Ovis aries: one gene and its partners. The protein of the gene in region 3 interacts with the protein of the main gene of each other region in a pairwise test. Links are inferred from orthologs where the notes say so. Each region holds a gene or a part of one and is shown on either strand. Other genes may lie near its edges. The genes, in order: NDN, VSNL1, FAM131C and HPCAL4.

What was found.
Region 1: the proteins of FAM131C (region 3) and NDN interact in a two-hybrid assay, tested with the Homo sapiens proteins (2 studies listed by BioGRID and IntAct). The link is inferred for Ovis aries from reciprocal best matches to the Homo sapiens genes FAM131C and NDN.
Region 2: the proteins of FAM131C (region 3) and VSNL1 interact in binary tests that used the Homo sapiens proteins (3 or more experiments, as listed by UniProt). The two-hybrid records come from large-scale screens. The link is inferred for Ovis aries from reciprocal best matches to the Homo sapiens genes FAM131C and VSNL1.
Region 4: the proteins of FAM131C (region 3) and HPCAL4 interact in binary tests that used the Homo sapiens proteins (3 or more experiments, as listed by UniProt). The two-hybrid records come from large-scale screens. The link is inferred for Ovis aries from reciprocal best matches to the Homo sapiens genes FAM131C and HPCAL4.

The regions. Positions count from the first base shown.
Region 1 is NC_056071.1:618,305-625,720, reverse strand, and holds NDN (necdin), read left to right. Parts: upstream 1-3,361; 5' UTR 3,362-3,449; coding exon 3,450-4,427; 3' UTR 4,428-4,991; downstream 4,992-7,416. UniProt on the Homo sapiens protein: Growth suppressor that facilitates the entry of the cell into cell cycle arrest.
Region 2 is NC_056056.1:25,654,336-25,662,535, forward strand, and holds the start of VSNL1 (visinin-like protein 1), read left to right. Parts: upstream 1-3,906; 5' UTR 3,907-4,147; intron 4,148-8,200.
Region 3 is NC_056055.1:249,708,053-249,715,978, forward strand, and holds the start of FAM131C (protein FAM131C), read left to right. Parts: upstream 1-2,525; 5' UTR 2,526-2,641; coding exon 2,642-2,663; intron 2,664-7,926.
Region 4 is NC_056054.1:14,319,672-14,327,866, reverse strand, and holds the start of HPCAL4 (hippocalcin-like protein 4), read left to right. Parts: upstream 1-4,075; 5' UTR 4,076-4,173; coding exon 4,174-4,189; intron 4,190-4,775; coding exon 4,776-4,945; intron 4,946-5,149; coding exon 5,150-5,365; intron 5,366-6,775; coding exon 6,776-6,973; 3' UTR 6,974-8,195. UniProt on the Homo sapiens protein: May be involved in the calcium-dependent regulation of rhodopsin phosphorylation.

The DNA of each region.
Region 1 (7,416 bases), on a different chromosome or scaffold from region 3:
ATTCTTGGAAGAAAATATCCTGTTACCAGATATACAGTTGGGCTCCAAGGGTAAGCAACACTAGGGGTTTACCATGTACTTGGTTTCAAATTTGGCATCAGTTCCAAATCTTTAAACCTTCTGAGTATAATCCCTCATAGTGGTTCTAGTCCGCAGACTCTGGGATAGTATTAAACAACCCACCCAATAGAAGAGAGATGTGGAGTGAGCTGTGGCAGGTGTGTCTTCCACTCATCATGGGAAAAGTCACCAAAATGAAGACCAGTCTGGCTCAAGCAGCACAAGCAATTCTCTTGGTCAAAGATCTGTTATGCCACAGAAAAAGAAGCTTTTATAATTTTAAAATTGTTGTGCTTTTATATTTGTTTATATAATTGCTTTCCTACTTTTTCTATGTAAGTGTTAACTGTTGTGCTCAAGTATGAAATTTAATTTCATCAATCCATTAAATCTAGGAGGGTGAAATATGAAGATGGAATTTTATTAATCACAATAGCAAAAAGTATGGTCCATGGCCAAAGCTGAGCTGAGATTTAAATAACAAGCTCAAATGTTTTCATTATTAAAAATAACTTAAATGAATGCAATCACTAAACCAACCAAACAGAAACAAATAAGTATACAAATGAATTAAAAAAGAAGAAAATTAGTGGAAATAAACTGCAAGAAATGAGGATTATTTTAAGAAGAATGGGGGCAATCAATCAATTTAAGCCATTCTTACATAATAATAATTGAAAACACTAATATAGCTAATACTACTCTGTAAGGAATATTTAAAAAATAGAAACCTATAAATTAAAGAGAAGAAAATGATGAACAAGAAAAATTGCAGTTGAGATATATCTAAATGAGCTGTAGGAATTATCCTTGTGAAATAAAAGATTAAGGGGTGTTATTGGACTGAGGTCAAATTGGTCCTCCTAAAAGTGATACAAGCATGAAAATCCAAAGATAAAAACAGCTAAGGGAAAAACCCTTTGAAGTCAATCTACTTGAGTAAAGTGAGAAATGAGAAAAGGGTACAAGCAATTTTTAAGGACTCTCCACACTGTTTTCCATAGTGGTTGTACTAGTTTGCATTCCCACCAACAGTGTAGGAGGGTTCCCTTTTCTCCACACCCTCTCCAGCCTTTATTGCTTGCAGATTTTTGGATCGCAGACATTCTGACTGGTGTGAAGTGGTACCTGCCATATGACCCAGCAGTCCCACTGCTGGGCATACACACCAAGGAAACCAGAATTGAAAGAGACACATGTACTCCAATGTTCATCGCAGCATTGTTTATAATAGCCAGGACATGGAAACAACCTAGATGTCCATCAGCAGATGAATGGATAAGAACGCTATGGTACATATACACTATGGAGTATTCTCGGCTGTTAAAAAGAATACATTTGAATCCGTTCTGATGAGATGGATAAAACTGGAGCCGATTATACAGAGTGAAGTAAGCCAGAAAGAAAAAAAACCAATACAGTATACTAACACATATATATGGAATTTAGAAAGATGGCAATGATGACCTTGTATGCAAGACAGCAAAAAAGACATAGATGTGTATAGCCGACTTTTGGACTCAGAGGGAGAGGGAGAGGGTGGGATGATTTGGGAGAATGGCATTGAAACATGTATACTATCATGTAAGAATCGAATCACCAGTCTATGTCCGATGCAGGATACAGCATGCTTGGGGTTGGTGCATGGGGATGACCCAGGGGGATGTTGTGGGGAGGGAGGTGGGAGGGAGGTTCATGTTTGGGTTCGCATGTACACCCATGGTAGATTCATATCAATGTATGGCAAAACCAATACAGTATTGTAAAGTAAAATAAAGTAAAAATAAAAATTAAAAAAAAGAAAAGGGTACAAGCTAATAAAGAGAGGATTCTAGAAATGTCAAAACAATATTGTAATATGAGTTAGGTTTCGAGTGACAATAGCCAGACTCACTGAGGGCATATGTAAGAAGCTGCCAGTTTGAGGAAACCCAGGAATGGCTGAAAGACCACAATGGCTTATACAAGGCATGTTGATTAGCTGCAGGAACATTGGATCCAGAGGTTTCTGTGCCCAATTTTTTTTTTTAAAGGATGCACCTCTGGGACTGTCAACTTTGTTTTTGTTGACAGTCTCAAACAAAACTGCAGATTTGGTTTCTAAATTTGAAAACTGATATACAACCACCAATTGTTACATCTCAAATCAATTGTTATCTGGGAAAATTTTGGGGATCTAGGTTAATTTAAAAAAGAAAAAAAAAGTATCTTGGGAGGGATTTGCATGTGATACTATTCAGTATCTGTGGAAGATGGGGATGTTGTGCTCTAAGAAGGTGAAGTTTCCACAGGAAGAAAAGCGGAGGTTGAAACAGTCATAAAGAAAAGGAAGGTCCTGGAAAAACAGGCGGAAAGACATCCTATGAGTCTATGCTAATATAATCTTTGTGTGAGGGGATTCTAATGAAACAAAATTTACATCAAAATTATCCAATGGAATAGAAAAACCAAAATCAATGACCATTAAAACACTAACAAAGTCATTATTATATTGCCTTCAAGAGAACTTCGATCACACTCGGATTGACAACATTCTGCATTTCTTGTTCAAAACTCTTCCATACGGTAGGAAATCAATGAATTTTTGTTGTTATTCTTCAGAATTCCAATTTGTCCAATTAGTTCTCCTGGTGGCTCAGAGGGTAAACTGTCTGTCTGCACCGCGGGAGACCTGGGTTCAATCCCCTGGAGAAGGAAATGTCAACTCACTCCAATATTTTTGCCTGGAAAAGCCCATGGACATAGGAGCCTGGTAGGCTACGCCCATGGGATCGCAAAGAGTCGGACATGACTAAGCGACTTCTCTTTTTCAGAGTTGACATATTTTCTTGGGCAATCCTGGCTGTTCTCTCAGTTTAAATTCTCACACTGATCTGAAACCTAGTTGACACACCAGCCTAGTTCTTACTCTTGGATTGATCTCTAACTTGATTTTGGATATACCTAATCAAATGCTTCCTAAGAAAGTTCAGTTTCAGCATTTCAGAAGCTTAAATTGCCATCTGTCCCTTAAACTGACTCCTTGTCCAGTGCTCACCCATCTCCCTCCCCTCCTCCTCAAGAACTCCTCCTTAGCCATAACAGGATACCTGGGGAGGGGGTGTGATCACTGAGGCCCATATTCTAGCGGACCCTCTATGCTTACTGGGGGCCTCCTAGCCCCCTCCTGCAGCCCACCAGGAGCCCCGCCCGCCAACTCGACTGCCGGGCCCCAGGCGCGCGGACGCGCAGGCGCATTGGCCCGGCCCGCCGCCGCCCCGCCCTGCCTGGCCTCTGCGGAAGGCGCCGCGCGCAGCAATGCGCACTTCCTCTCCAGGAGTCCGCGGAGGGAAAGCAGACTCGAAGAGCTCTCGGACTCGGCGGCCCTGCTCTTGCGAGACCGAACAGATATGTCCGAACAAAGTAAGGATGTGTGCGACCCCAACTTTGCGGCCGAGGCCTCCAACTCCGAGGTGCACGGCAGCCCCGGCATTACCGGGGGGCCCTCTCCTCCGGGGTCTCAGGCCGCGACACTCACTGAGCCAGAGCGCCCTCCCTTAAGCCCGCCTGATGCCCCTCTGGTCTCGCTGCCTTCCCAGGCTCCAGGCGAAGAGGGAGACCCGAAGGCCCTGCAGCAGGCCGCTGACGAAGGCCGTCCCCACCAGGCCCCGAGCACAAGTCAGCTCAGCCCGGCGCCCCCGGCCCCGGCCCAGCTGGTGCAGAAGGCACACGAGCTCATGTGGTACGTGCTGGTCAAGGACCAGAAGAGGATGATCATCTGGTTCCCAGACATGGTGAAGGATGTCATCGGCAGTTACAAGAAGTGGTGCAGAAGCATCCTTCGGCGCACCAGCCTCATCCTCGCACGCGTGTTCGGGCTGCACCTGAGGCTGACCAGCCTGCACACCATGGAGTTTTCGCTGGTCAAAGCTCTGGAGCCAGAGGAGTTGGACAGGGTCGCTCTGAGCAACCGCATGCCGATGACGGGCCTCCTGCTGATGATCCTGAGCCTCATTTACGTGAAGGGTCGCGGCGCTCGAGAGAGTGCAGTCTGGAACGTGCTGCGCATCTTGGGGCTGAGGCCTTGGAAGAAACACTCCACCTTCGGAGACGTGAGAAAGCTTATCACCGAGGAGTTCGTCCAGCAGAACTACCTGAAGTACCAGCGCGTCCCCCATGTCGAGCCCCCTGAGTACGAGTTCTTCTGGGGCTCCCGTGCCAGCCGCGAAATCACCAAGATGCAGATCATGGAGTTCCTGGCCAGGGTCTTTAAGAAAAACCCCCAGGCCTGGCCTTCCCGCTACAGGGAGGCTCTGGAAGAGGCTAGAGCCCTGCGGGAGGCCCACCCCACTGCCCACTGCCCCCGCAACAGTGTCTCCGAGGACTAGCAAGGTCTGGAGGCAGATGGAAGTTTTCTGCCCCTCACCAGGGTGGAGGAAGGGTGGGAGTGTGGGACGTTAGAGTATTCAGGATCTACAGTGCAGTATTTCACGTGTAACTTTTAAGTTTTCCATACAGTGCTTTTATACCTCTTAATGCAATGTTGTGTTCATTTCAGTAATATTAGTGTATAGGATTCATGCATGGTTGTTTGTAATTAAGCTCAGTTGGTGCTTTCGCTTTTGTGCTACCTTTCTTGAATTTTTTGTACCAGAGACATGCTAAACTTATGAAATACACTGAGGCATTTTCCATATTCTTTTACGTGTGACGGAGGCTGTGTATTGGGGTAAATTGGTCTTGCAGAGTTTGGAAAAACTCCCCAGAAAAGCTGGCCTAACCAAGAGAAAAGTTGACCCCTGTCTTTGTGCTCTGCCTGGGCACGGGAAACATCCCTGTGGAGTTTGGTGATGTGAACTGAAACAGACTCAATGTGGGCACACTTTACTAAACACAGATACAACCTCACCATGAGTAAACTTTAAACATTAAAGATTCTTGTGATACAGTCATTCATGGAAAAAGTGTACTTTATCTTCTTAACAGAATATTATGGGTTTGGAATGGGAATTACAAAGTATACAGATATAACTATTTCATCTAATAGGACGGGGATGTCAGTACTCATCATGACTCATAAATATGTAAAGGGCATAGTTTTATTTTCAGGAAGGAATTCACAAGTTCATATCAAAGCTTTGACAAGTAGAAGTGCAAAAACCAAAACAGGGGTCATAATCACATTATATAGAAATAACAAATGCTGATATTTAGAGTAATTGCCCCTCTTACATTTTCCATATTTTCTAAAAAATAATAGCTGTCTTTTGTGGGCACTAAGAGAGGCCTTGTACTAAACCCTTACATATATTTTCTCTCTTTAATCCTCACAATAGCCTTGTGAAGCAGGCACCGTGGAGGAAATACAGAAATAAAGCAGATAATTAGCTTTCCCTGGATCATAAAGGCTTCCTGGGAGGAGAGGCTTAGTTTTAGGGTTTGGACCCAGACTGAATGAGCCCAGAGGCCGAACTTATACTCACCTGCCTCCAGCTGCCCTCCTGACTCCTGCCTTTTAGATTGTGCCTTTAAAAAGTTCCATGTTAGCATCTTTAGTTTTCATGTTATAGCCTGTACTTGTAGCTCCCTACTCTCAACACACACACACAGCTAAAGATTATTACTAATGAATCCTAAACATTCATCTTTTAGGGGAATTAAGTCATATTCTGTACAAGTCAAGGAACTTCATTTCAGAGAGGTTAATGGATCTAACCAAGTCCTGTTCCTACTTAGCAGTGAACCCAAGATTTGAAGCTTGGTCTTTTCTGAAGGACTGTGCTGATGGAGCTGACTGCCCAGTGGTCTGGAGGAACATACATGGGACACCTTGGAGAGGGATGTGGGGTTGGGGTGGGAAGGTCGCCTATTAGGGTGTCTCCAAAATTGCCATGGGCCACTAAGCAACCACTCAGAAGGTGGGATGGGGTCAGGGAGGGGCAGTGTCTGAGGATAAATCTCATTAGGGAGCTCAAAGCTGCAAGGGGGAGAAAGAGAAATAGGATTTAATAAGACCAAAAATCCTTCAAACATCAGAACATTGAAAAAGATCATTTCGTTAAAGCCAAACCCTTTTCTGGGGAAGATGGAAAATGAGGGGAATGCATAGGTGACATTACCCCCAAAAGAAGTAATCTGAGAGTTGTATTTGTGTGAGAGAATTACTATCTGAATTGGAGACTAGGATTCCCAGCGCTTAAAGAACATTACTTAACAGGCAGGTGCTGGTGCTAAAGTGCTGAAGAAGCCTCCCATGTCCTGAGAGGAAGTTTATCCCTTTTAGTAGATGTCCTGTGAGGTCTCCTGTGGGGAGTAGTGGGCATTTCTGCAATAACTTAGGCAAGTGTGCCCTGGCTTTGATGCCACCTCTTAACTGAGCCAAAGCTAATTCAGACATTTTAAAACTTAAAAAAAAAAATTACCTCCATCTCAACCCAAAACTTCCTGCAGAAACAAAACAAATCTGCCCCTTTAAATGTAAGTCTCCCCAGCCAAGCTGGGGTGCTGGACACTTTGTCTAATGCCCTAATTCAGCTTGAAACAACTGTTTAACTCCTGAGCACTTCTTTCATCAAACCCAGAAGTCACCAGCCACGCAGTCCTTTTACTTCCCAGTGTTTGTATTTGCTTTCTTTTCTGCCAGGAAAGACTGGCAGAACCACCCCAGAGCTTCTCCCAAGCTCCCTGACACAGGCACATCACCGGTGCTGTAGAGGACCAAATCTTGAGCGAAGGACAGGATCATGAGAAATGAGAAGCTGACCCCAGCAAGCTGACCCCATGTGGGCAGAGCTTCTCAGTTCCTATGCAGGCTTGGAGACAGCCAGACCCTGAGAGAGAGGCTTCCCAGATGCAGGACAGAGCTAATTCATGACACCAGGTCCTGCATGGAGAGTAGCTTGGGGCACAGGGAAGGGACATCCAGTATCTCTTTTGGATTTTCATGCTGGGCTCAACTGAAAGTTGAGGGGTTGGTCATGTATTTTCCAGAAGGTTTATCTACAAGGTGCTGCGAGAGCTCTTTCGGAATGGAGTCTGCAGACCCTGGATGTTTCAGCCGAGATGACAGTGCGGTGAAGCCCAGACTGCTGCTGCTGGGAAAGAGTTTCTAATTCCCGGTAACATCTGATGCTTTATCAGTCTGTTTTGCCAACAAGAACCTCACTTCTTTATAGACACCCACAGGTATATTTCCCTATAATTAACTTCATTTAATTAAAGTCATGGAGGGCAAAAAGGACCTGTGTAAACTGAATGTAATTAGCTTCCATTAAAATAGTATGTATGACAAAACCAATACAATATTGTAAAGTAATTAACTGATTAAAATAAATAAATTTATATTTAAAAAAATAATAAAATAAATAATATAAAAAT
Region 2 (8,200 bases), on a different chromosome or scaffold from region 3:
AGCATGTCCGGTAAATAATATTACAATGAGCTGAGATCTGCTATATTACTGGCAATTTGCACTTTTACTGCCATTCTCAGGTTTCAGTTTGTCTATGTCACAAATAAAGTGGATGGAAATATTAAATTAATTTACTAAGTATTAAATCAGTTGTGAACACCTGAAAATCGTCCTTAGTTTTATTTTGTGAGGCGAAAGTAAAGCTACTTCAGAAAAGAATGTTATTTGCAACTGAGGAAGGGAAAAATGGCTTCTCAGGGGTTTCCAGGCAAGTGAGGGTTTCACCAGGTCCTTCAGACAAAAAATAAACAATCCTCTCCTTAAAGAACCTTTCTCCCTCCCTTCCCCCAGCTCCGATTTACACAGCCCCTCCCCAAACCTCCTGGCTTCTCAGGTGGCGCTAATGGTAAAGAATTCGCCTGCTAATCCAGGAGACTTCAGAGATGGGGGTTCGATCCCCGGGTCGGGGATATCCCCTGGAGGAGGGCAGGGCAACACACTCCAGCATTCTTGCCTAGAGAATCCCCATGGGCAGAGAAACCTGGCGGGCTACAGTCCATGGGGTCGCAAAGAGTCCCACAAGACTGAAGCGACTTAGCACGCAGCACTTCCCAAACCTCCAGGATGTGAAAGCTGACACCGCGATCCGCAGTGTCAGGGACTTGGCTTCAGGTAATAGGGCAACTGCTATGGCTGATGGCATTCTCCGCTCATCATGGCCCAGCATCCCAGTCCCTCTGTCCCAGAGCCGCGCATCTCTGTTCTCTTGTGATCACAAATGTAAATGACCGAAGAAGGAAGGAAACACAGGGCTCCCGCGTTTAGTGTTTTTACCACACTCCTTTTTTGAGAGTTAACTCTACCATCCTATAGAAATGAATTGCTTTTTGTAATTTAAATGATCATATTCCTTCGATGTTTTCAGAATCATCTTTCCTATGTGACTACATGTGACTTAGTGTTACATATATAAAAGGCATCACACAAAACATTTTAACAACAAACACTAAAAAGATAAAGGTGCACAATAACTGAGGATTAAAAAATATATCGCCAAACAACGCCTCAGTGCAAACAACCAACAAAATCTGCTTGCCCCATGAGACAAAGCAGCTTCACAAAAGCGCACGCTTCTAAATCAAATCTCCCCTACAAGAGAACACGGTTTAAAGTCTCAGTGTTCACTTTACCCGACACACAAGTTGCCAGTAAGTCATCTAAAACCTAACACAGCCACGAAAGAGACCTCCAGGGGAAATGAATAGGTACATCTCTCCGAAGAAATGGCATCATGACCCCTTCGGCTGATGCAGATTGCAGTGCGGAGACTGCTCTCGAGAGAGAAATCAGAGAGCACAGCGTAAAATGCTTGAGTAGAGAAATGGACAAAAGACGAGGAATAACTTTGAAAGCTTTTGGATGTTGTGTCCCTGGCCAACAAAAGCGACTTATCTGGAAGTGACTTTTGCCCCCACCCCATCCGGAGAAAGAATCGACCGGGCGAGCCTCGCTGCGCAGTGCGCATTGCGTCCCCGGAGCGCAGGGCTGGCGCCCGCCAGATCCACAACCTGCTCGGCTGCCGCAGCGCGCCGGGGCAGCGCTCCCTGCTCCGCGCTAATCCACGCTCCGGGTTTCCGCGGTCTCCGCCGCCGCGCGGAAGAGCCCCGCGGGGAGGGCGCTACGGCAAGGCTAGTTCAGGGAGTCCCGGGAGCGCTCCTCTGCTCTGTGCCGCCTTTCCAGGGCTTCCCGCCCAGCGGAGCGCGTTCCTGAGTTCTGGGCTGGCCAGGTTGGCTTTGAGCTTGAGGCAGCGGCTTAGGTGTCACCAGCTGGGGCCCTCACCCACCACTGGCCTTCCAAAACCAGAGACTTGAGTTTCTCTTGATCTTTGCTTAAGTAGCCTCAAGGTCTTCCAAGCTGGGCGCCCCCTACTAGCAGTCAGCAGTAGGCACCCTCCTAGCAATGGAGATTTGTCTATCTCCAGCTCTTTTGCCCAAAGAGATACTCTTAGTGTCCTCAGATCAGAAAGGTTAACTGCAGGTTAAAAAAAAAAAAAAAAAAAAAAGTTGCTGTACCGCCAAGTGAATCAGCTTCCTGGATGTGATAAGGTGTTTGAAGGCACTTTGCAAGTTGTAAAATTCTCTGCTTAAAAAGAAAGTCCATCAACACTGGGTAACAAAGAGTATCTTTGTTACCCCATGGACTGTAGCCCGCCAGGCTTCTCTGTCCATGGAATCTTGCCAGCAGGAGTACTGCAATGGGTTGCCATTTCCTCCTCCCGGGGATCTTCCCCACCCAGGGATCACACCTGCGTCTGTTGCAACGGCAGGTGGGTTCTTTACTACTGAGCCATTTAGGAAGCCCCCATCTTCACTGCCCCTGCAGAATGTCCCTCTTTTGAAAACTCCCATCTGAATGAAAACCTCAAGAGGGATTTTGTTCGCTGCCTTTACCACCAAGGCATTGAAAAATGCCTCAAGTCAGTGGGCAGGTGGTCAATGAATAATTGTTGAATAAGCAAAAGTACCAGAGAAGGCAATGGCAACCCACTCCTGTACTTTTGCTTGGAAAATCCCATGGAGGGAGGAGCCTGGTAGGCTGCAATCCATGGGGTCTCTAGGAGTCGGACACAATTGAGCAACTTCACTTTCACTTTTCACTTTCATGCATTGGAAAAGGAAATGGCAATCCACTCCAGTATTATCGCCTAGAGAATCCCAGGGACAGGGGAGCCTGGTGGGCTGCCATCTATGGGGTTGCACAGAGTTGGACACGACTGAAGCGACTTAGTAGCAGCAGCAACAGCAGCAAGCAAAAGTACAAACAACACACTTTAGGAAATTAATTGGGTTGAGAACATTTGAGACTTCACCTTGCATGTCTGGTAGAGAAACGACCAAACATTTACTGGGCACTACTCCTTGCCAAGCCTTCTAGGCTTTGGCTAGGACAGTCAGGATCCGGGGAGGGCTGGCAAATGTACGTGTCCTTCAAAGACACAAAAGGGGGCTTTATAAAATGGCTTAGTCCAATCCCTCAACCCTGGATTCCCATGAGGGCTCACTGACTGCCCTTCACTGCCCACTACAACCCCACCCAAATCATATTCAATAAAATGTATTTAGTGCACAAAGAAGGCACTTATTGGTAAATGCTGGTTGATGATTAGCATGATTGGCCCAAGGTCACCCAGGATCAGGATGAGAGCTTCAGCAGCCCCTCCCTTCAACACACAGCTTCTCCAAGGCCATTGGGAACCACGACCATCTGAGTAGAAGGCTTTTAGAATGCCTGGCTCCCAGTGCTCTCAGTATAAGACCCGCGGAAGAAATGGCCCACACAAAGTGCCAACCATAAGGGTTTTCTTCAGAGTGAGCCATGGAGACAAGCTCACAGCTTGCTGGGCACGTTTCCTTCGGAGCAAGAGATTTCTGCAGTTTTCTCCTTCACCTTACAAGCCTGACAAAGAGTGGGCCGGGGGCCCTCCAGGCCTGAGGGTGGCGGGAAGCAGGCTCCACGTGTCCCACTTCTGGCCTCAGCCTTCACCACCAGACTTGGCTGGTTAAACGCGGGGGCGTGGTGAGGCCAACTCGCTCAGCCAGTCCAGGTGAAGGGCTGCGCCAGTGGCCAGGCTCCCTTTTCCTATCTACTTTCCTTCCGAGTTTCTGCTAAAATCTGGAGACACGGAATCCACTCGCGGCAACTCCGAGCCTCTCCAACTGAGCATGCGCCAATGCCTGGCTGCTTTTGGTCACCGGCCCCAGCTCCCTCTGAGCTGGGCTGCGGAGCCAGAGGAGGAGGGAGGAGGGAGGCGGGAGGAGGGGAAAGGGGAGGGGGTGCCTGGAGAGGCGGCGGCTCGCGCGCCTGCGCATCCTGCTCCAGGGACCCTAGGTTTTCTATGGGATTCCCAATCTGCAGCAGAGACCTACCGGAGCGTGTTGCGGCGGCGACTGGGCTTGCAAGGCGCGATCCAGGAGGGATTTAAGCAGCCCAGAGCTCCACTGGAAAAAAAAAAAAGAGAGAGCAAGAGAACCATACCCAGAGACGGCTTAACCGTTCATCCGAATTAAATATATATACATACATTTATTTATAGAGAACTGTTGAGTTTTATCATTTTCGTTAAGTGACCGTGAGCAGCGCTATAACTGTAAGTGGAAAATACAATCTTCGTTGCATTTGTGCATGTGTAGTGCAGCCAATTGTCTGGGAGACGCTTTGGTTATTGTCACCTACTTGGCTTTGCATAGATACGTCTAAATGCATGGTGTGACAATAGCTTTGGTTAATGCTAAACGTATACTGTTAGCCCATGGGGGACCTTTTGGAATAATGAGGGGTGGGGGGAGGGGGAGTGTTTACAGGCGGCGTGTTTGGGGAATTGCCTTAGGCTAGATTTAAGACAGGTGAAACTGAGGTGCTTTTTAAGTGTGTCTATATACAGGCAGATTTCCTTACACAGATTTAAGTAGCTAATGGACCGATTGTGAAGTTTTCCGGTTGCTGATAAAACTATTGAGCGGTTGCAGTCAAGTACCAACCTGTCATCCGTGGGGCTGGTGCACCATCTTTCTCACCGTGGAAGAGGAGCGAACGTGTTTGTTAAGTAAAACTGAGTGGACGAGATGATGTGGAGACCAAGATTGGTTTCCAAAGTGGGATGTTTAGAACCACAGGGCTAGGCGCAAAATCAGCTCATTTCTCTGTTAGTGTTTAGAAATGAGAAGATAATTTTTCGGTTTTGATTTTCCGTCACGATGGTGAATGGGCAGAAAAAGGAAAGATGTTCAACCACCCGGTCAGCTCTGTCTATTTTGAACAGAGTATGAGACTCAGAGCCTTTGAATGGGGACTGACAGATCCAAACTAGTTACCTGCCTTTGCATGCTGTATTTGCATTCCAGAATGCAGGGTTGAAAAAATAAAAAACCAAATGTTTTACCTTTGATAGTGTTTCTTTAAAGGAGAACAGGTCGTTCTGTGTTTTGAGTTAAAATGGATTGTTCCTTGCCCAGATACTGAAGAAGGGTCTTTGCAAGGTCAAACCCTCTGTGGAAATCAGGGGGTCTGGGGAACTGGGGAAGGGTGCAGGAAATGGTGATGCTCTCTGTGGGTGCTCAGCACTGCAAGGAGATACCAGAGTGAGAATACATTTTTCTAGAGTTGCCCTCCTGTCCATATTTTGGAGATCAAAATGAAGTGGAAATGCTAGTGGGTGTAGAAAAAAAGTGTATACTATCTGTCACATCTCACTTGGAGACAAGAGGACCCAGGGAAACTGTATTTCTACATATTGAATTTTTCAATTTAAAGGAATTTCACATTGAAAAAATTAAAAATGAAACTCTTGAGAAGACACATTTTTTTCCTTACTACCGTTTAAACTGGCTATTGTTGTCTTTGGTGGAGGTGGCCGGGTTGGGGGCAGGGGGTGCGCAGAGGGGGTGGTTGTGGTATAGAGGGGTCCTGCATCATTGAACACCCCACTCTTGAGCACAGGCTTATTAAGCTTCCGTGTTTAACCCCAGAAATTGCTGCTCTGAAGCAGGCTGGCAGAATGGCATGAGGCAGGTAGACAGGAGAGAGCATGGCCAGTGTGCTGAATTTCCACAGAAAAAGCAGATCCAGTTTCTATGATGAAATGAAATACATTTTACTCCAAATAGGACAAGTCATTTTAGACTCTTGACCCTTTAGTCAGTTCAACTATTTGGAACCTTTCAAAGGAATCTACGTTTTTTTTTAAAGTGGATGAAATTTGAAGTAGAAAATTCTAGAATATCCTCTCCTTGGAAACCTAAAGTGTAAATCATACTGCCTTCTCGGTCCCTCCTTTCTTTACTCCAGGGCAGAAGGGCCAGTCGTTTGTCCTAACTGAGCCATACTCCTTGTCATCAGTGAAAGTTGGAACAGCTCTCTGAACGGTGCAGGTGCAACACTGCATTGATAAATGAGTGGAGGAGAAAGAAGGGGGAAACCTGGTGTGAAAGCTCATAGATGTTTTCTCCCAGATACCCTGGTTCATAAGGCTGAGTTACAGAGAATCGCATCGGGCAGAGACCTTCGAAAACATCTAGTCCAAATCCCTTGTTTTATAGATGAGAAAATTGAGGCCCAGGGCCATGAAGCCAGGGGAAAGTCAATTAACTTTGAGTCTATGGAATAAAGAATTAAAGAGTAATGTTGAGGGAAAATGTTCCTTTCTCTCTGCACTTATAGCATCCTCAGTGACATCGCTGAGGTCTTAAAAAAATAATTGCCTGCTCCCAGCACATCTTTCAAAAGAGTCCCGCAGGTTCCTTTTTACACTGCTGCACCTCTCTTTGCCTTTCTTTTTTCGTAAGGCCTCTATCTCTTTTTTCTGTTGCCCCTCACTTCTAATATACCCACTTCATTAGATGTTTAGTCTGGCCTTCCTGGCATCTCAGTCAGTTCCTTTGGAATCCTTCGAGTGTTTGGAGAGAACTGACAAACCAATTGGAATCTTCAGCTCCCGTTTGAAAACTGTCCAGGCCCATCGCCAACCCCTCTCTGCTCTGTTCCCCTAGAACGTTTCAGGGAATCCAGCCTTCTGAGACACTGCAGGCATCTCCCCTTCTGGTCTACCTGTCTCACCTCCTTCAGCTCTGCTGCGGCTGCAGGCACTGGGACCTAGCAGAGTGAGGAAGTTGCAGTGTCAACACACAGCAGGCGCTGCCAGCTCACCTCTGGCTCCTAGAAGGCAGAACCCAAATCCAAGATGCCTAGCTGTCTCCAGCCTTCATGGAAATCCACCAGGCAAAGCCACCTGCAGAGAGAGGGACTGAAGGCTGGGCGGGAAGACTGAAGGAAGACACCTGACTGTTCCTTCCTGAAGAAGGCGCTATAAAGGAGAGCAGAGCAGCTTTTTAAAGCCTTCAGCGCTTTTAAAGCGCAGTCTTGCTGGACAGGGACTGCAAAGCAGGCAATAATAATACCTGCCTAATTTGCCCTCTTCTTTCCTTCTTTTTAAATCTCTTTTCCACTCATTTGCTTTCTCTATTTCTCCCTCATATTCTCCCTTCCATACAAATTTCTTGAGTATCTGTGCCATGAAGCTCTAGGCCTTTTAAAGATAATTCAGTCACCCCTGTCCCTTCTCCCCAGGCACTCAGGAACTATCACAAATGTCCCCTTTGGGGAAATGCCAGGAATTCTTACCTGAAAAAGCTGAGAAGTTGGGGGAGGCTTGAGAAAGACAAAGTCTGAGACTCTTCCTCATTTGAGAGATAAGCTAAATACACTTGGCAAGTGTTGAAGCTCAGAAAGCAAAGTAGTGTGTTTCTCAACACATTTCCCAATTAACAGTTTAACTTAACCATTTCCCTCATGGTAAACTTTTGCTGAGTTGGGATGAGCTCTGTCTTGGAGAGAGTCTGTCCCTCACACATCCTCGTGGGTCAACTGTCACCTGGCCTTGCTATTCTGTTCTGAAAACAGGCATGTCCAAGCTATTCTATACACCACATACCTTGTACAGAGGTCAGAGACTTGTAGCTACTAAAGATGCTTTGCTTTGCTGTGGTGTGAATCTCATTCTGTAAAAAGACAGCATGATTAGAAATGTCCTGAGCAAGCTATAGATTTTTCTATGTCTTTTTTTCAAGCAAACATCCAGTTCTCTTTATTGGGATGTAAATAAATCTCGTAGCACTACAAGTCATATGAGAGGTTTACAGTGGTCCTTAGTACTCTATGTAGGAGGGTTTTAAATAAGACAGCTATCGATAATTAAAAGCGGATTAGTTCAATCAAGTTACAGTGTCATCCTTCAGGTTAAAGTGCTCTGACATTAACTACTGTGGCAGCAAACAGGATCCTGAGAAGGAATCCCAGGGCCAATCGTCTTGCCTCTTAACTTCGAAACAAGAACGAACACAGTTCGTGTAATAACCGTTCTCTCCTCAAGCCCTGCCCACCCCCTTGGCCTGTGACATTCTCTCCTGAGGAGAGATGTCAGGATTTGATGAGATTCTGTCTCAACTGGGACAAAGAAAAAAGAGTAATATGGAAAACATTCTAATATCGGGTTACTAACAAATTAAAGTAAACAGATTACCTGATGACTCTGTTTAGTTGCTGATTCATGCCCGACTCTTTGTGACCCTGTGGACTGTACCCACCAGGACCCTCTGTCCATGGGATTCTGTGGGCAAGAATACTGGAGTGGGTAGGTTTTCTATTT
Region 3 (7,926 bases):
ATGTTGTGAGAGCACAGTCGGCACTCTCCTCTGGCTCCTCCCCCACCAGGAGCCCCCCTCCCCCATGCACGGCTGGGGGCGGGGGGGGGGGGTGGAAGGTCACCAGGCAGATGGGCTCTGGGCTGAGATGGAAAAGGACAGCCTGGCCCCAGGGAAGGACAGCCACACGTCTCGGCGCTCTCGGGGAATCGTCCGCTTCAGCAGAATTCCAAGGACTGGGAAGGTGAATGTGGGTGTGCTGGGGGGGGGGGGGCAGCCCACCCCCCTGAGGCCCAGTCTCAGCCGAGGGCCGGGGCTGGGCTGACAGGCAGCAGGCCTGTGTTCCAGTCCTCACTCGGACGTCAGCTGGCTGTGTGACCTTGGGCAGGCCCCTGCCCCTCTCTGAGTGCCCATCTGGACAAGGAGAGCAGCAGGCAGTGGAGAGCTGACCAGCGTGAATGCTGAGGCCCGGGCTGGCCAGAGCCCCACCCTGGACTGTCTCTGGCTGGGGAGGAAGTGACCTGGGGTGGCACACTGCCCAGCGTCCCCATGGGCCTCTGTCTCAGGCTGAAGGGGTGCCGTGGGCTCCCCAGGCACCCTCAGCTCCCCGTGAGCCTGGCACCCCCACTACCCCCAGAGCGGCCGGGCCGCCAGCGGGGAGCCTCCGTGGCTGTGACCCAGCATCCTGTGTCCGGGTGAGTCACAGTGCTCCCTCCAGCCGGAGCCAGGTGCCCAGTGCTGGGAGGAAGAGAAAGGACCCCGGCTCCCCTCCCTGGGCTGCAGGCGGACGGGCGAGGTCAGAGCTCCCCTCTAGAGCAGGCTTGGTGGGGAGGGGCTGGGGGTTTGAGGCGGGCAGGGCATGGCGGCCTGGAGCAGCCCAGTCCGAGGGCTGCGCTGCGCTCCAGGACCAGCGTGTCTGTCATGGGCATGCTGGCACCTCCTAGGCGCTTTGCATGCGGCCGCTGAACGGAGTGTCCTCAGCATTCCCGCTGCGTGAGGAAATGCCGCACACCTGCGTTCACCATCACTGCTATTTTTAGCTCTAAGCACCTACTACGGCTCAGTCACTTTGCACAGATTATCTCACGGATCCTTACAGCTATCCCGTGAGAGGCTCAGAGAAGGGAAGCAACTTGTTCCAGGTTGCACAGCGGGTGTGAGCTGAGCCCACGTTCTCACCAGCGGTGGACACCCCTGGCCGGGGTCTCTCCCCACCAGGACTTTTCTCCGGAGAAGGCGCCAGGCCTGAGGAAAGAAGGGGCAGCAGCGCCCACCCCAGCAGCCCACCCCACACCGGCAGCCACCAGGCCTGGATCCTGCCCGGCTGGAGGCCCCAAGCCCCACCACACGGCCACCCCAGCCGCCTTCATCCGTCAGCACCCTGCTGGGCGGGCACCAGGGAACCTGGCTTGCTTACTTGTAAAAGGGGCACCGTGCCATCCAGCCTGCCTGGCACACACGGAGGTGTCAGGATGGAGCGAGGCGGAAGGAGGCGAAAGTGAGCGCTCGGTGCCTGAGGGCTGTGCTGGGCCGCTGGCTGGGGCGCTGGGGTGTCTGAGCACGACGGCGTGTGAATGCAGGTGTGTGTGAATGCGAGTGCGTGTGAATGCGGGTGTGAATGCGACTGCGTGTGAATGCGGGTGTGAATGCGAGTGCGTGTGAATGCGGGTGTGTGTGAATGCGAGTGCGTGTGAATGCGGGTGTGTGTGAATGTGTGTGTGAATGCGGGTGCGTGTGAATGTGTGTGTGAATGCGGGTGCGTGTGAATGTGAGTGTGTGTGAATGGGGTGCGTGTGAATGTGCGTGTGAATGCGGGTGTGAATGCGAGTGTGTGTGAATGCGACTGCGCGTGAATGCGAGTGTGTGTGAATGCGGGTGTGTGTGAATGCGAGTGTGTGTGAATGCGAGTGTGTGTGAATGCGGGTGTGTGTGAATGTGTGTGTGAATGCGGGTGTGTGTGAATGCGAGTGTGTGTGAATGCGGGTGTGTGTGAATGCGAGTGTGTGTGAATGTGGGTGTGTGCGGTGGTGAGCGTGTGGGTGAAGCATATGTTCACACGTGCAACTGTGCGTACGTGCACTCACGGGTGGGCATGTGAGAGGGTGAGTGTGAGTGATTAGAGGGGCCCCGGTCACCCGCCCTCAGGCGCCCGAGGGGACCGCAGGCCCTGACCCTGACCTACCTACCGGCTCACCGTCCCCACCGGCTACATCCCCGGCCCTGGCCCATCGACCCCCAGTGGGGGGCTGACGGGCTCGCAGGAGCCCTGGGCAAGGCCCGTGACCCCTCCGTTTCTTCCCTGCAAAGCGGTTCACCGCCGGCCGTGCGCTGCGCCCGGCTGGCCGGATGCTGGAGCCCCCCCGCCCCCGCCGCCCGTCCCTGCCCTTCGCCCCGCGCCGCGGGGTCCCCGCCGCCAGCTTCGCCTCCGCGCTCAGCGCCGCCCCCGCCGCGCGGCCACAGGTGCGCGGGCCGCCGGGGCTCGGCCCCCCCGCGCTGACCGCGGCGAGGCGGTGCCAGGCTAGCGGGCGGCGCGAGCCGGACGCCCGGGCGGCGGCGGGAGCCGCGGGCCCGAGCCCTCCCCGCTCGTCCGCGCCGGCGCCGCGCGTGGGCCCCGCGCCCGCGGAGACATGAGCGCCCGGCGGCCCGGCCCCGTGGCCGCGTGATGGGCTCCTGCGTGTCGCGAGGTGAGGGGGCCCGGGCCGTGCCGGGGGAAGGGGCCCCGCGCCGGGTCGCGCGCAGTCCCTCGGCCGCTCCGAGGAGCCTGGGCGGGGGCGGGGGGACCCACCCGCCCTTCCCGGCGGCTGCACCCCACCGGCGCCCTGGGAGACGCGGGGCCCCGCCTGCATCTGCACCCCAGCAGGCGGCGGGAGCCGGGTCTCTCCCTTCCCGGCGGCCGCACACCCCTGCCTGGGGCGGGGGACACGGAGCGTCTGGCGCCCCCGGCCTCTCCGGAGTGACTCGGGGCACTCGCGGCGCAAGCCGACCCTCGTTCCCACGACCCCCCCCCCCCGCCCGAGACACAGGGCCCACCGCTGTCCGCGTACCCCACTCCCTGTCTTCAGACTGAACACCCGCGGCAGGCGTTAGCGGGAGGAACAGGGTCTAAAGAAGACCCCGGCCCCTCCTGCCGGCGCCTCACCCCGCCAGCCTGGTGCGGGGACAGGCGGGGACAGGCGGCCGGCCCGGGAAGCCGCGGCCTGTGTCTCCGCCCGGCTCTCTGCTGCCTGCTGGTGCCTGACCCCTGGCTGTCCCCGGGGTGGAGCAGGGAGCCCCGGGAGCCGCTCTGGGGGGCGGTGGGGTGGGCAGGGAAGGGGTGGGCAGGTGTTGGAGGCTGCGCCGGGTCCCTTCACCCCGCAGCGGGAGCAGCAGGGCTGAGGTGAGGGCGGACAGACCCTGGCTCCCACTCTGCGGTATGAAGCCAAACCCACTGACCCCAGGCACAGCCTTGGGGGGCCACCGCCGCATCCTGCACCCCAGCCCTTCCTCAGGTGTGGAGGGGTAACCAGGCCTGGGTAGGGGCTAGGCAGGCTCCAGGGGACCCGCCCTGGGAGATGAGGGTTGGGGGGGGGGGTAAAGGGCTCTGCCTGGGGGCTCTGCTCACCAGGCCCCCAGGGTTCAGGTAAGTGGCTCAGGATGTCTCAGGAGGGTGGGATCGTGCGTGGGGGCTGGGCTGTGTGAGGTTCTTTCATTCATTCATGAAGCTGACGTCAGCCTGACCCCTACTGTGTGCCAGCCACTGTGTACACACTGCGTGCCTAGAGCCGGTGAGCCCAGCATAGGGTCTGCTCTGGGCCTCCAGCCTGGCCAGAGGGGAAGGTACTATGTAGAGTGGAGAGTACCTAAGTTTCTTTAGAGCCAGCAGGCTCTTGGTGTGTCTGCAGAAGCCCGGAAGGCTGTGCAGGCCCCTGGTATTGGGGTCCCGGGGTCCCCTTTCCTTTGGCCCTCCTGCGCACCCGGCCGTCCTGTGCCAGGCGCCAGAGGCCCGGCCCCAGGAGACTTGCCCGTTAGCCACAGACCAGGGCGGTGCTGTCAGGGCTGGGGCAGGGGCTCGGGTCCTCTGACGCCCCCGTAGCTGGTGGACCCTCTGCCGTGCCCTCTGGGGGCACCCGGAGGTCTGCGCCCTTCCTGCTGTGGTTTGGGCTCCTCGTTGTATATCCTGACCTTGTGCCCTCCTGACGGGGTCTGCCCACTCCCAGTGCCAACATGCCCGCAGGCAAGTTGGATGCAGGTACAGGAAGCGTGAGCTCCCCTTGAGCCGAGGACACCCATCGTCCCATTGCTCTGGCTCGGGGGGTCTGAACCCCTGAGTGGAGGCCACCTGCCCCCCTAGCTGTCCCTGCTCCTCCCAGAGTGCGCGCGGCTCACCAGGGGCTGGTGGGAACGTTCCAGGCTCCACTCGCCAGTCTGGGGTCTGTACTAGCACAGCCCGCATTTTACAGGCAGGGAAACAGTCTGGGGCTGCGTGGTTAAGAAAGAGCAGAAGCGAGCCTTGGACGCGGTCATGCTGGCTTCGGCACCCGTGCCCTTGTTCTCTGTGCCACACAGCCGGCCGTTGGACCCAGGGCTGGCCTGGCCTGCTCCTTCCAGCCCCCGGCCTCTGGATTCCAAGAGCCTCTGAGTCTCCACGTGCTGAGTCACTCAGTCGTGTCTGACTCTGTGCAACCCTATGGGCTGTAGCCCTCCAGGCTCCTCTGTCCACGGGATTCTCCAGGCACGAACACTGGAGTGAGCAGCCATGCCCTCCTCCAACCCAGGAATTGAACCTGCGTCTCTTAATGTCTCCTGCATTGGCAGGCGGGCTCTTTACCACTGGCGCCACCTGGGACGCCCGGGAGCCTCCACAGCAGCCCCCGCACTCCACGTGCCAAACTTGCAGCCCGAAGCCGGGCGAAGCCGCATCCTTCTGCTGCCCACAGCCACCCAGGGCCTGCAGGCGACTGCAGCCGCCCAGCCAAAGCCCAGGCTTCGGGCCACAGCTGGGAGAGCCACCCCACCCAGCCCTGGGCAGCAGTTAGCCCCCTCGAGCCAGCCCTGAGAGGGTAGGAGTGCGAACTCTGGAGCCGGCCGGCCTGCTCTGCCCCCGCGGCAAGTTACTTAACCCTGTGCATGTATCTCAGTGTTCTCATCTCTAAAATGGGAATGGCACTTCCATGGATGTCTTAGGGGTACTGGAAGTGAAAGTGATAGTCGCTCCGTCGTGTCCAGCTCTTTGCGACCTCATGGACTGTAGCCCGCCAGGCTCTCCAGTCTATGGAATTCTCCAGGCAAGAACACTGGAGTGGGTTGCCATTCCCTTCTCCAGTGACCTTCCCAACCCAGGGATCGAACCCAGGTCTCCTGCATTACAGGAGGCTTCTTTACCAGCTGAACCACCAGGGATACTAGGAGGGGATTAAATGACTTCCTATAGAGCACTCAGACCACTACCTGGCATGTAGCAAGCCCTTTAAGTGTTAGCTGGCACTTTAGTTTTTAATTTTTGTTAGTATCCTTCTGTGCAGAAGCTAATCCAGACCCTCTTGGCTGGGAAAGGGGAAGCTACAGGGGCTTTGAGCACCATCCAGCCTTGCAGGAAAAGACACACTGAGGGGTTGAGGACGTGGGGAAAGTGATTGGGCCCAGATGGAGGCACCAAATGCCTTTCCTCAGAGCTGCTTCGTGTTGTCTTGAGTGCTTATCCTGAGCTGGCTGAGGCATCACTCTCCTGACCTTGTTAGACCCCATTCAACCCCGGAAGGGGGGCGTAGGGCTCAGAGATGGGTAGGGTCTTGGCTGAGGTCACACAGGCAGGACCCAGAGAGGTAGGATATGAATCCAGGACTGCCTGATCTTGGAGCCTGAGCACAGAACGCCTGCCTGTTGCTTTCTCGGGACCCCACTGGTGCCGGGGTCCAGCCCCGGTGGATCCAGGGTGATTTGAAGGTGGGGTCGGAGTCGGCGTCCTTGGAAAAAACTTATTTAATTACAGATAGAGAGGGATTAGAAAATTAGCAGAGAAAAAGAGGCCGAATAACTTGGTTTATATGGAATACCAATCACCACCTACGTAGGCCGCAGGCGTCTTCCCGTTCTCCCGAAGGAGAGGAGGCACTGAGGCCCACCTGGTCTGATCTTAGAAGCCCAGACAAAATTAGCAGGCTTTGTGGGTACCCATACACCAGATGGAAATTCGGCCGGAAAATAGTAGGAGAGAAAAAGAGGCTGAATAACTCGGTTTACGTGGGATACCAATAAAATTCAAGACAAGGAATTTGCACCATCTACATTGGGCCACCGGTGCCACTTGAATATCGGAAGGTGCCCCTCCTTGGGCTCCTTCTCGCGTGGGCTTGAAAACCGGGGCAAATGAGTAGACTTGGCGAGCACCCACGCTCCAGATGGGAATTTAGCCAGAAAAACGGGGAGCAGAAAAGAACAACATGGGGGAATCAGTCTTTCCAGGAACTGATCCAATTTCTTTATTTTGGGGTTTGCTTATATACCTTTTGTTACACATAGGGATGAATACAGATTCACACAGGGGTCAGCAGTCCTGACCTTTATCAAAATCAGGTGCTTCACATAAATGTATAAAAAAAAGTCTGAGGGGTTTTACATCATCTTCTGGCCATGAGACCTGCAGATGTTTTATGACCCTTTCTTTCTGATAACCAAAAAACTTATTTTTTCCAAGGGTGTTTTTTCTTAAACCAGGCACCACCCTCCAAATAAAGTTGCATTCCTATAGGGTGAGGGTGTAGCGAGTTATAATCAAGAAAGGAATTTATTTAACCCAAGGTTAACATGCTTAATCTTAAAGGTTAATACTTATTTCTCCTATATGCTTAAAGGTTAATACTTATTTCTCCTATATGCTGGTTATATTCATTATAAGGGTAGGGAATATGGAGATTTAGCAGCAAACATCAGCCCAACATATGAAAATCCTTTCACCAATGTTCCCCTTAAGATCTATTTAGTCTTAAGATAGTGATAAAGTTACATTTTTACACAGCAAGGACACAGTGATTTATAACAAAGTACAGTGATCTATTACAAAAGAGAAAATTCACTAGCTCAAAAAGTCTAGTATTGCTAACATCAAACTACTATATTTCCTTTTCTATATTCCAAATACATTGATTAACATATTCCCAGGTGCCTAAGGATATGGAGGCCTGGAGGCAATCATTGACTCAACAATGAGAAAAGCCCTATGCTAATTAAGACTCTCAAAATACTCCAAAACTCTCTGTGCTGTTTATGGTTGAGAGGTAGTAAACAGTCATGAGGCAGGAGTATGGATAATCCTGTCACACAAGCTAGTCTGCCAGCATAGAGGTTTGACCTGAGACACCCTTATCCCACCCAGAGCAGGGAATTAGCAGCAATTATTGGGACAACAAATGAAAAACCCTTCACCAATATAATTCCTAACCAACCCACTATACTGACAATTTCCCAAAAGAATTTGCCTTTAGTAAGTCTAAAACATCTCGTGCCTCTCAGGTTGGGAGGCTGTAAACAATCACATGTGGCCGGACGAACCTATACAGGTGGGCTAGATAACCTTCAGAGGAGTCCCTAAGCTGAAACACTCTTGTCACGCCCAGGAATTTTTATTGCCTTGGAGCTGCACGTTTACTCCTTCTCCGAGAGAAACGGTTATGGGGAACAGCCCCCCATAAAGTCAGAGGTGTAGGTGAGAGCATAAAACAGACTCTGGCTGTGGGGTTAGATGCTCGGGAACAGGGGTTTCCTGAGGCTTGATCACGCCTTTGCGTGTGCCAAGCCTCCTTCCTCATGACCTTTGCCGTGGGTGGAGTTCCTCACGCTGGCCCCCAGCACACTAGGAGAGGGGTGCTGAGCATGCGGCCCGCGCTTGAGGCAGTCAACCCTGAAGACACGCCCGTGTCGGCATTCGCTTTGGCTTTGCTGGCACCCGCGGTGTCTGCCCGCCTCTCTCCA
Region 4 (8,195 bases), on a different chromosome or scaffold from region 3:
AGAGCAAAGGGAGGAGAAGAAAAAAATCTCCTGACCAGGGAGCTATTGTCACCATGGCAACAGTCTCAGCACCAGCTCCTCTGAAGCTTGGTGAGGGTGTGGGATTATTGCCTCCCTCAGTCCCTCCCACCCTCTCTGCCACGCTCCCATTTGGAGCCCACAACTCTGAGTTCTGCCCTCTGAAAGAAGCCTCTGAGCCCAGAGGCACAGTGTCTTCATGCATGGGGAAGTGCCAGCTTCTTCAGAGCTGGAGGCAGCCCTCAAGAGGAGCCTGCCTACGTTCAGCTAGGCCACAGCTCCAACAGAACATGCCCCCGCGGGTTCTGGCCTTCTTCATGCTGATGGACTCCACTTGACCTTGGGTGAACTCTTCCTTTCCTCAGATCTAGGTTCTATTGTGTCTAAGTGGGTGCAATGGCAGGAGAACACAGATAAAACAGCCTGATGCTGTTCCAAGGAGAAAGAAGGGGGCTCTGCCCCTTGAATATAATCCTCAAAGGGACATTCATTGAACATCTCTGGGTTCCAGAGTAGGTCTCTGCAGGGCACTTCTGTCCTGCCAGAGAGGGCAGAATGGGAACCTGTGTGGGCAGCTACAAGAGAGAAAATGGGAGTGAGGGAAGATGACTTTTCTCACTGTCCGAGCTGCTCCCAAGCAGACAGGGTTATATTGGGAGAGGATAAGCTCTCTACCATGGAGCAAAATGTCTGGAGAAATGTTTCTGGTCCAGACAAGAGTGTAATGCAAAACTCTTCCCCAAATCAGGCTCCATTCTGGAATTCCAGAGCACCAGGTGAGGGTCTGAGAGCTCTGGAGTCTACGCACCTGTCAGGGTCAACTCTGTGGCCTCAGAGGGTCTACTCATGCCCAGAATGCTAAGTCTAGGCTGCTGACTGTCCACTCTCCAGTCTGGGAGAGGCTGATCATAAGGAAGTGGGCTTTAGTCAGCCCTGAAGGCTGATTGTGGCTGCATCAGCCCAGAAGAGAAGGAAGGATTATGAACAACAATTGAAGTAGGTTCTGACTGAAGTATGTAGTTGTGAGGGGAGTAGTGGGAGGTAACGCTAGACAGTTGACTCGAGACATGAGATTCTAGAGGGTTCTGGAGTTTGAGGGGATCCATGGGTATGGCAACCCTTACCCTATATTGTCAGTTCAGTTCAGTCGCTCAGTCGTGTCCGACTCTTTACAACCCCATGAATCGCAGCACGCCAGGCCTCCCTGTCCATCACCAACTCCCGGAGTTCACTCAGATTCACGTCCATCGAGTCAGTGATGCCATCCAGCCATCTCATCCTCGGTCGTCCCCTTCTCCTCCTGTCCCCAATCCCTCCCAGCATCAGAGTCTTTTCCAGTGAGTCAACTCTTCGCATGAGGCGGCCAAAGTACTGGAGTTTCAGCTTTAGCATCATTCCTTCCAAAGAAATCCCAGGGCTGATCTCTTTCAGAATGGACTGGTTTGATCTCCTTGCAGTCCAAGGGACTCTCAAGAGTCTTACCCTATATTGTACCTCTGGGCAAAACTAGAAAAGACATTCTGTTGAACAGAGGAATCACAAGGAAAGCCCTGGCAAGCAGTGCCTCAGCTGGGTTTCAGCCCCTTTGGCTGTGCCCCTGGCCCTGACTATGCAGTGGCGAGGTGGGGGGGTCGTGGGGAGAGGATGTGGTGTACATTCCAGGAGCACTTGAAAAGAAGGAACAATAGGCCTTAGTAGCAAGTGGGACCCAGGGAAAAGGAAGAGGGGAAACTAAATGCAACTATGGTTGTATTCCCTCCCTGATCCCAGGGAGGGAAGGAAGGATGATGGAGAGAGAAGGACCATCACAGATTGAGGGTGAATCTGGCTGTAGCTGTGCTGAGTCAGAGGCTCTGGTGGTCCACCCCAAGGGTGGATATTTCCTGGGTATCAGATAGTGTGACCTGGAGCCAGCAAAATGGTCCCATTGAGGCCAAGAGGCAGATCAGAGCCATAGATTTTCTGTCTGTAGTGGACAAGAGGTGATTCAGAGAGGGCGGGTGGCAGGATTCAGTCCAGGCAGGTGGCATGGATTCAGCCTGGGTGTAACTCTGAGCCAGTTTTCTCCTCTCTCTGGGTTCCAGTTTTTCACTAACGTAAGGGGATGATCTTAAAAGCTTTGGCCTGCTGACCTAAGAGTGGTAGAAGGAATGAAGAGAGATAAAGCCTCCTTCATAGTCCCTGGTGGGCCAGGAATCAAATGGGGACTGAGAACAGGTATGGCCAGGAGACAGAAAATGGTGGGAAGGCAGCACAGAGCGGGGGAGAGAAAAGGGGCAGAAGGTGAGAGCCACATAGACTCCATCACACACACACACACACACACACACACACACACACACACACACACACACACGTGTGTGTGCCTTCTGGCAGATTTGCAGTCTTATACCCTGACGTGCTCCCACCCACTCCTACCGCTTACACAGACACTTGGGCACATCTCACAGGAGACAGAGGGAGAGGCTCTGCCTCCCCCACCAGACACCACTACCTCTGTGCTCTCGAACTTTCTTGACCGTACCTGAGCCTTCAGTGTGCTTTGGAGGAGGGGGCAGCTGAGGATGCAGCCCGCCTCCTTCTGCCCATGTGTGTTTCAGTTGTGCTTTTGATTCCGGTCCCAGGACAGCTGTGTGGGACCCCCTGGTTCCAAGTTCCTGAAGATGGCGCACCTCCCCCTCCCTGGCTTCCCCTGGGAGCATGTAGGATTCATCATCCTCTGGGGGTGGGAGGCAGGCAAGGATGTTGCTGCCTCCACTGCTCCTTGATCTTCTTCATGGCCCTGGGGAGGGTCTGAGATCCAGAGGTATTCTGTAACTCAGGACTCCCCAACCTCTGGGATCTGATGCCTGATGGTCTGAGGTGGAGCTGACATAGTAATGATAGAAATGAAGTGCACAATAAATGCAATGTGCTTGAATCATCCTGAAACCATCCCCCCACCCTGTGGTCTGTGGAAAAATTGTCTTCCATGAAACAGGTCCTAGGTGCCAAAAAGGCTGGAGATCGTTGCTTGAAGTCATGAAGCAAGGAGAGAGGGCAGGGAACTGACCAAACTCAGACCTGGCTGTCTAGGGTATTCCCAGCAGTAAGGATTAGAAGCCACACAGGCATGCACTGGGCTGTGGAAGTGGAATTCCTTCTGCCAGCCTGCGGGTGTCCTTTTCCAGAGTGTCTTCATGACAGGCTACCCTGCAGCTGGGGTCTGGCACTCTTCCAAAGAGACTCTGGGTGGGTCAGATTCACCTCCCAGGTCATGTCCTGGGGAAGTCAGGCTCTAGCAGGACATTCCCCCCATGGAGGTCTGATAAGAATGTCAACTCAGCCTTCAGGGCCTGCCAGGGGCCTCACTCCAGCCAGGCTTCCTGGGGAGAGTTTGTACCTCCCTCTGCAAGAACTTCCTCAGGCACAAGATACTTGAGGGGCTCATGGTCCCACTGGGGCCTGACTCTTCACCCTCCCCAAACCTGCGTCTCAGAAATACCACCTCTATCCTTTCTATCCATTCAGCCCCGGTTCTGAGCATTGGCTGCAGTCCTCTGTCACTCTCAGCCCCGCATGCATTCAGTCCCCAGGTCCTGCCAGTGCCTCCTCCTAGCATCTCTCAGTCCGTCCACATCCCTCTACCACCCCACCCTGTTGTCATCACCTCCCACCTGAACGCTGCAGCAGAGCTGCCCCTCCTCTCCCGACCCAGGTCATCTCGTACACTGTAGCCAAGGAAAAATCTGAAAAACACGTTCCTTCTCTCTGGGTCCCCAGCACCATATTGTAAACAACCTATAAGTATTTGTGTAATGAATTTGGTCTTTCCAGCCTTTGCTTTAAAACCACAGGAGCTTCTGTGCCCCACGCCAGACTCCTTGGTGTGGATTTAAGGTGCTTTACAATCAGCCTCTTTGATCGAGTTATGAGTTAGTGAAGTCTGGCTCGTGTTGACTTTATCCCTATCATCAGCACAGGGCCTGGCTCATGGTCAGCCTCAATAAATGCTCAGGGAATGAATGAACTAATGAAAAGGAGAATACAGTCAGGGTCATCAGGGTTACCAGCTAGGATTTCTGTTTGTACAGAGGAAGAAGGGAGAGAAGCTTCTTGCTCAGGTGGCCTGGAAGGTCTTGAGGAAGGACTTGGGAGACAGCGCCAGGGGAACACATGAGGAACCTGCCAGGTAGGAGAGGAGCTTGTAGCGGTGGGTAGAGGCTGAGTGCAGAGAGCTCTCAAGAGCAAGGAGAGGATTACGACTATTCTATGGGTGTAGGGAGCTATGGAAGGTGTAAAGAGGAGAGGAGAGAATGAAGACTGGGATTTGCAAACTGGTCAGTGAGAATGAGGAGAGTTGAGCCCTGGGAGGCTAGAGACCCTGGTTGCCAGGGGAGGAAAACTGCTGTGAGCAGAGAGGAGAGGCCTGCTTGGAGAGGAGGCCCTGTAATCGGGATGTAATAAGGGGAAAGCCCCCACTTTGTGTTGGGGGAAAGAGGGGAGCAGAGGAGAGGCAGGAGCTTCTATGGGAAGGAGTGTGGTGGAATGACAGAACCCATCTGTAGGAGGTGGGGTGTCCACCATGGAGGTGAGAAGAGGACCCCTCCCCCCGCCCCGCTGTGGAAGGATGGGGTCCTGGCTGTGGGAATGTGGAGTTTGTTAGAGGAAGGGGCTGTGGTGGAGAAAGGGAACCCCGTCCTAGAGAGACTTGGCGGAAGGCTGCTGAGGTGACGGCCTTGCCCTGGACCAAAATGAGGGAGCCCTCTGTCCTCCAGGCCCTGCCATGGGGAAGACTAACAGCAAGCTGGCCCCAGAGGTGCTGGAAGATCTGGTTCAAAACACCGAGTTCAGTGAGCAGGAGCTGAAGCAGTGGTACAAGGGCTTCCTGAAGGACTGCCCCAGCGGCATCCTCAACCTGGAGGAGTTCCAGCAGCTCTACATCAAGGTAGGCGGAGCCCAGCACTCCGGGGGCGGGCTGGAAGACAGGGGGCGGGGCAAGACACTCTAGGGGGCGGGCCAGACGAGCGGGGGCGGGGCCAGACACTCTGGAGGGCGGGCCGGATGAGCGGGGGCGGGGCCAGGCAGCCAAGGGGTGGGCCGCGAGCGCGGAGCTGTCGCTGCGCCCCAGCCCCGCGTGTCCCCGCCTCAGTTCTTCCCCTACGGTGACGCCTCCAAGTTCGCGCAGCACGCTTTCCGCACCTTCGACAAGAACGGCGACGGCACCATCGACTTCCGGGAGTTCATTTGCGCCCTTTCGGTCACCTCCCGCGGTAGCTTCGAGCAGAAACTCAATTGGGCCTTTGAAATGTACGACCTGGACGGTGACGGGCGCATCACGCGTCTCGAGATGCTGGAGATCATTGAGGTGGGTTGGGAAGACACGCTTCCTGTCTTCGCTGCGAGGGCCGTTCTCCAGCCACCCTCCCCGCTCAGGCCTCGAGAGCCCACCACTCCCCTCCTCCCTCCTGCCTCCTCCCAGGATCCAGCGGCTAGCCTTGATTGGGTGTTCAGAGTAGGACCGGTCTTGTGCTAAGTACTTTACCCGACAAGTCTAGGCGGTACTGTTAGAAACCCCATTTTACGGTTGAGGAAATGTATCAGGTGACTGGTTCTTGATCCCAAATCTAAGGAGTCTGACTCCAGAGTCCCAAATTCTTAACTCAGTGTTCTTTCAACAAATGTATATTCTTTCAACAAGAGTCCAAGTTCTTAACTCATATTCTTTCAACAGAGACTGCCACCTGCCAGTCTCTGTTTAAAATTCTTGCTTTCATAGGACATTCCTTCTGGCAAGAAAATTAAACAAAACAAAGCCTATGCTATGTCAGGCAGTAAGTATTACAAAGAAGATAAGCAAAGCAAAGTAAGAGGAGAGGGCATTGAAGGAAAAGTGATTTTGTGTAAGGTGAGATGTGAGGAGTAACCTGGAAGAAGTAAGGGAGCTAACTGCATAGGTGTCAGGGGGAGGATCTCTGCATGTTGCTGCTGCTGCTGCTGCTGCTGCTGCTGCTGCTGCTGCTGCTAAGTCGCTTCAGTTGTGTCCAACTCTGTGTGACCCCATATGGGGAAGAATAAATGCAAAGACCCCACTAGACTGTGTTTCCAGTGTTCAAGGAGTGGCCAGGAGCCCAGGGTGGTGGGACAGAAGTAAGCAAGGGGATAGTGGTAGGAAGAAGTCAGATAGGTAGTCAGGAGACTGTTTCTTAGCATCATCATTTGGGATAGAGACTTGACTTTCTTCTAAGTGAGATGCGAAGCCCTTAAGGGCTCCCTCTATTCTCTGTGTGGAGAACAGACTGAGCGGGTGGGAGGTCAGCAAAAGTAGGGAGAGACCAGTTGCGAGGCTTCCACAGCAGTCCGGTCACAGGGGGATGGAGGCGACAGGTGTGGAGCAATGGAAGTAGCAGGCAGCAGCTCGTTATTGGGCCTGTTCAGAATTAGGGCTGACAAGATTTGCTGTAAGATTAGACATGGGTGTGAGAAGAGGAGGGTCGAGAATGGTGTCGAGGCTTTTGGTCTGAACATCTAGAAGAATGAATTTGCTGTTCACTGAGACAGGGCCCGCTGGGGCAGAAGCAGGTTGGAGGTGAAGAGCTGGGTAGTAGACACATCTGGTGTGAGATGCTGAGTAAATAGCCAGTCTTAATGACTGTACATCACCTTCCAGTATCCTCACACGACCCCTTGTTCTCCATGCCACGCCCGGGTCCCTTCATTCACCTCCAGTCCCCTGTCCCTGTGGTGAGTGTTCACACCTCCCTCCTTGCCCCAACAGGCTATTTACAAGATGGTGGGCACTGTGATCATGATGCGCATGAACCAGGATGGGCTCACGCCCCAGCAGCGTGTGGACAAGATCTTCAAGAAGATGGATCAAGATAAGGACGACCAGATTACACTGGAGGAGTTCAAGGAGGCGGCCAAGAGTGACCCATCTATTGTGCTGCTGCTGCAGTGCGACATGCAGAAGTAGAGGCTGGTGAGGGGCAGGGCCCCTGGCCAGGAAGGGCGTGGCCACCTCCCAACCCAGTGACCTCTCTGGCTGGCCCTTCCTTAGGGGGAGGGGGACTCCAGCCTCACTCTCTGGCCCACCCACCCCTCTGCCCAAGCCCTTGCTCTCCTCAGTCAAGATCCTTAAGGGACCACCTCACCCTGGAATAGAGAAGATCCTCAGGTATTTAATGGCCTAGCCTCAGCCCCAGTCTTGGCCCAGAACCAACATCTGCTGGGCATAGGGGAGCTGGTTTTTGCCCCAAGGTACAGGGTGAAGGGAGGAGGGCTGGGTTCTGCTTTGAAATTCTGTTCTGGGATTGTGCTTTATAGGATGTGGTCCTACAGACCCCAGTTAAAGGGCCAAATTGGGTCTGTCCTTCACTGAGGACCCAGAACCCTTAAGGGTGGTCTGTGCCCTGCCCCCACAAATCTACCTGGCCCCTCTGGCCCCAGCCTTTGGAGTGTTCACTCAGTACTTTCTTCAACTAACATTTATTGAGCACCTATTCAAGGCCAGGCACCCCTAGGTGCTAAGGCTATGGTAGTTTACAAGACACATTCTGGCCCTCTGGCAGCTCACAGGGTAGTGGTCAGGGTCTCAGACAGGGACACTGAGCTCAGGTGAGGAGAGGATACAGTAAGGCTGGTTAGTTTGAGAGGAACAGTTAAATCTTTCTGCTCAGCTCCACACAGAGCTGCAGAAGGGATGAAACGGAAAGTATTTGGAAATCTAGGAACCACAGTGGGGATTTTAAGAAAAATTGAAATTGAGGTAATACTTATTTTTTAATACCCTTTAAAAGGACTAAACTCATTTTATTAGTTGAGGATATTAAAACATACTTTATATGACTTGGTTTCTTGTAAAACGATTAAATGAATATAGAAAGTGCTAATTTTCAGGGGGTAAAAAAGAGCTGAGAAAAAAAAAAAAGAGGAAAATATCACCCAACTTACCAGATGACACGTTTTTTTATCAGGCTAAATCCTTAACTGTCACTGTCAGCAGCTTCTGCTGCTTCCTTTTAAATGATCTTTTTTTCAATTCAGTGAGCAACTCTCTACTGTGCACTTAATGCTGATTAGGAGCTGACTTCAGTAACAGAGAACATAAGGCTTGCCAAGAGTGAGACAAGTGTAGTTCCCACATCTGGATTTGGTCTAGTTTAAGGATGGGCTCTGTTCTTTCACTGCTCCAGAAG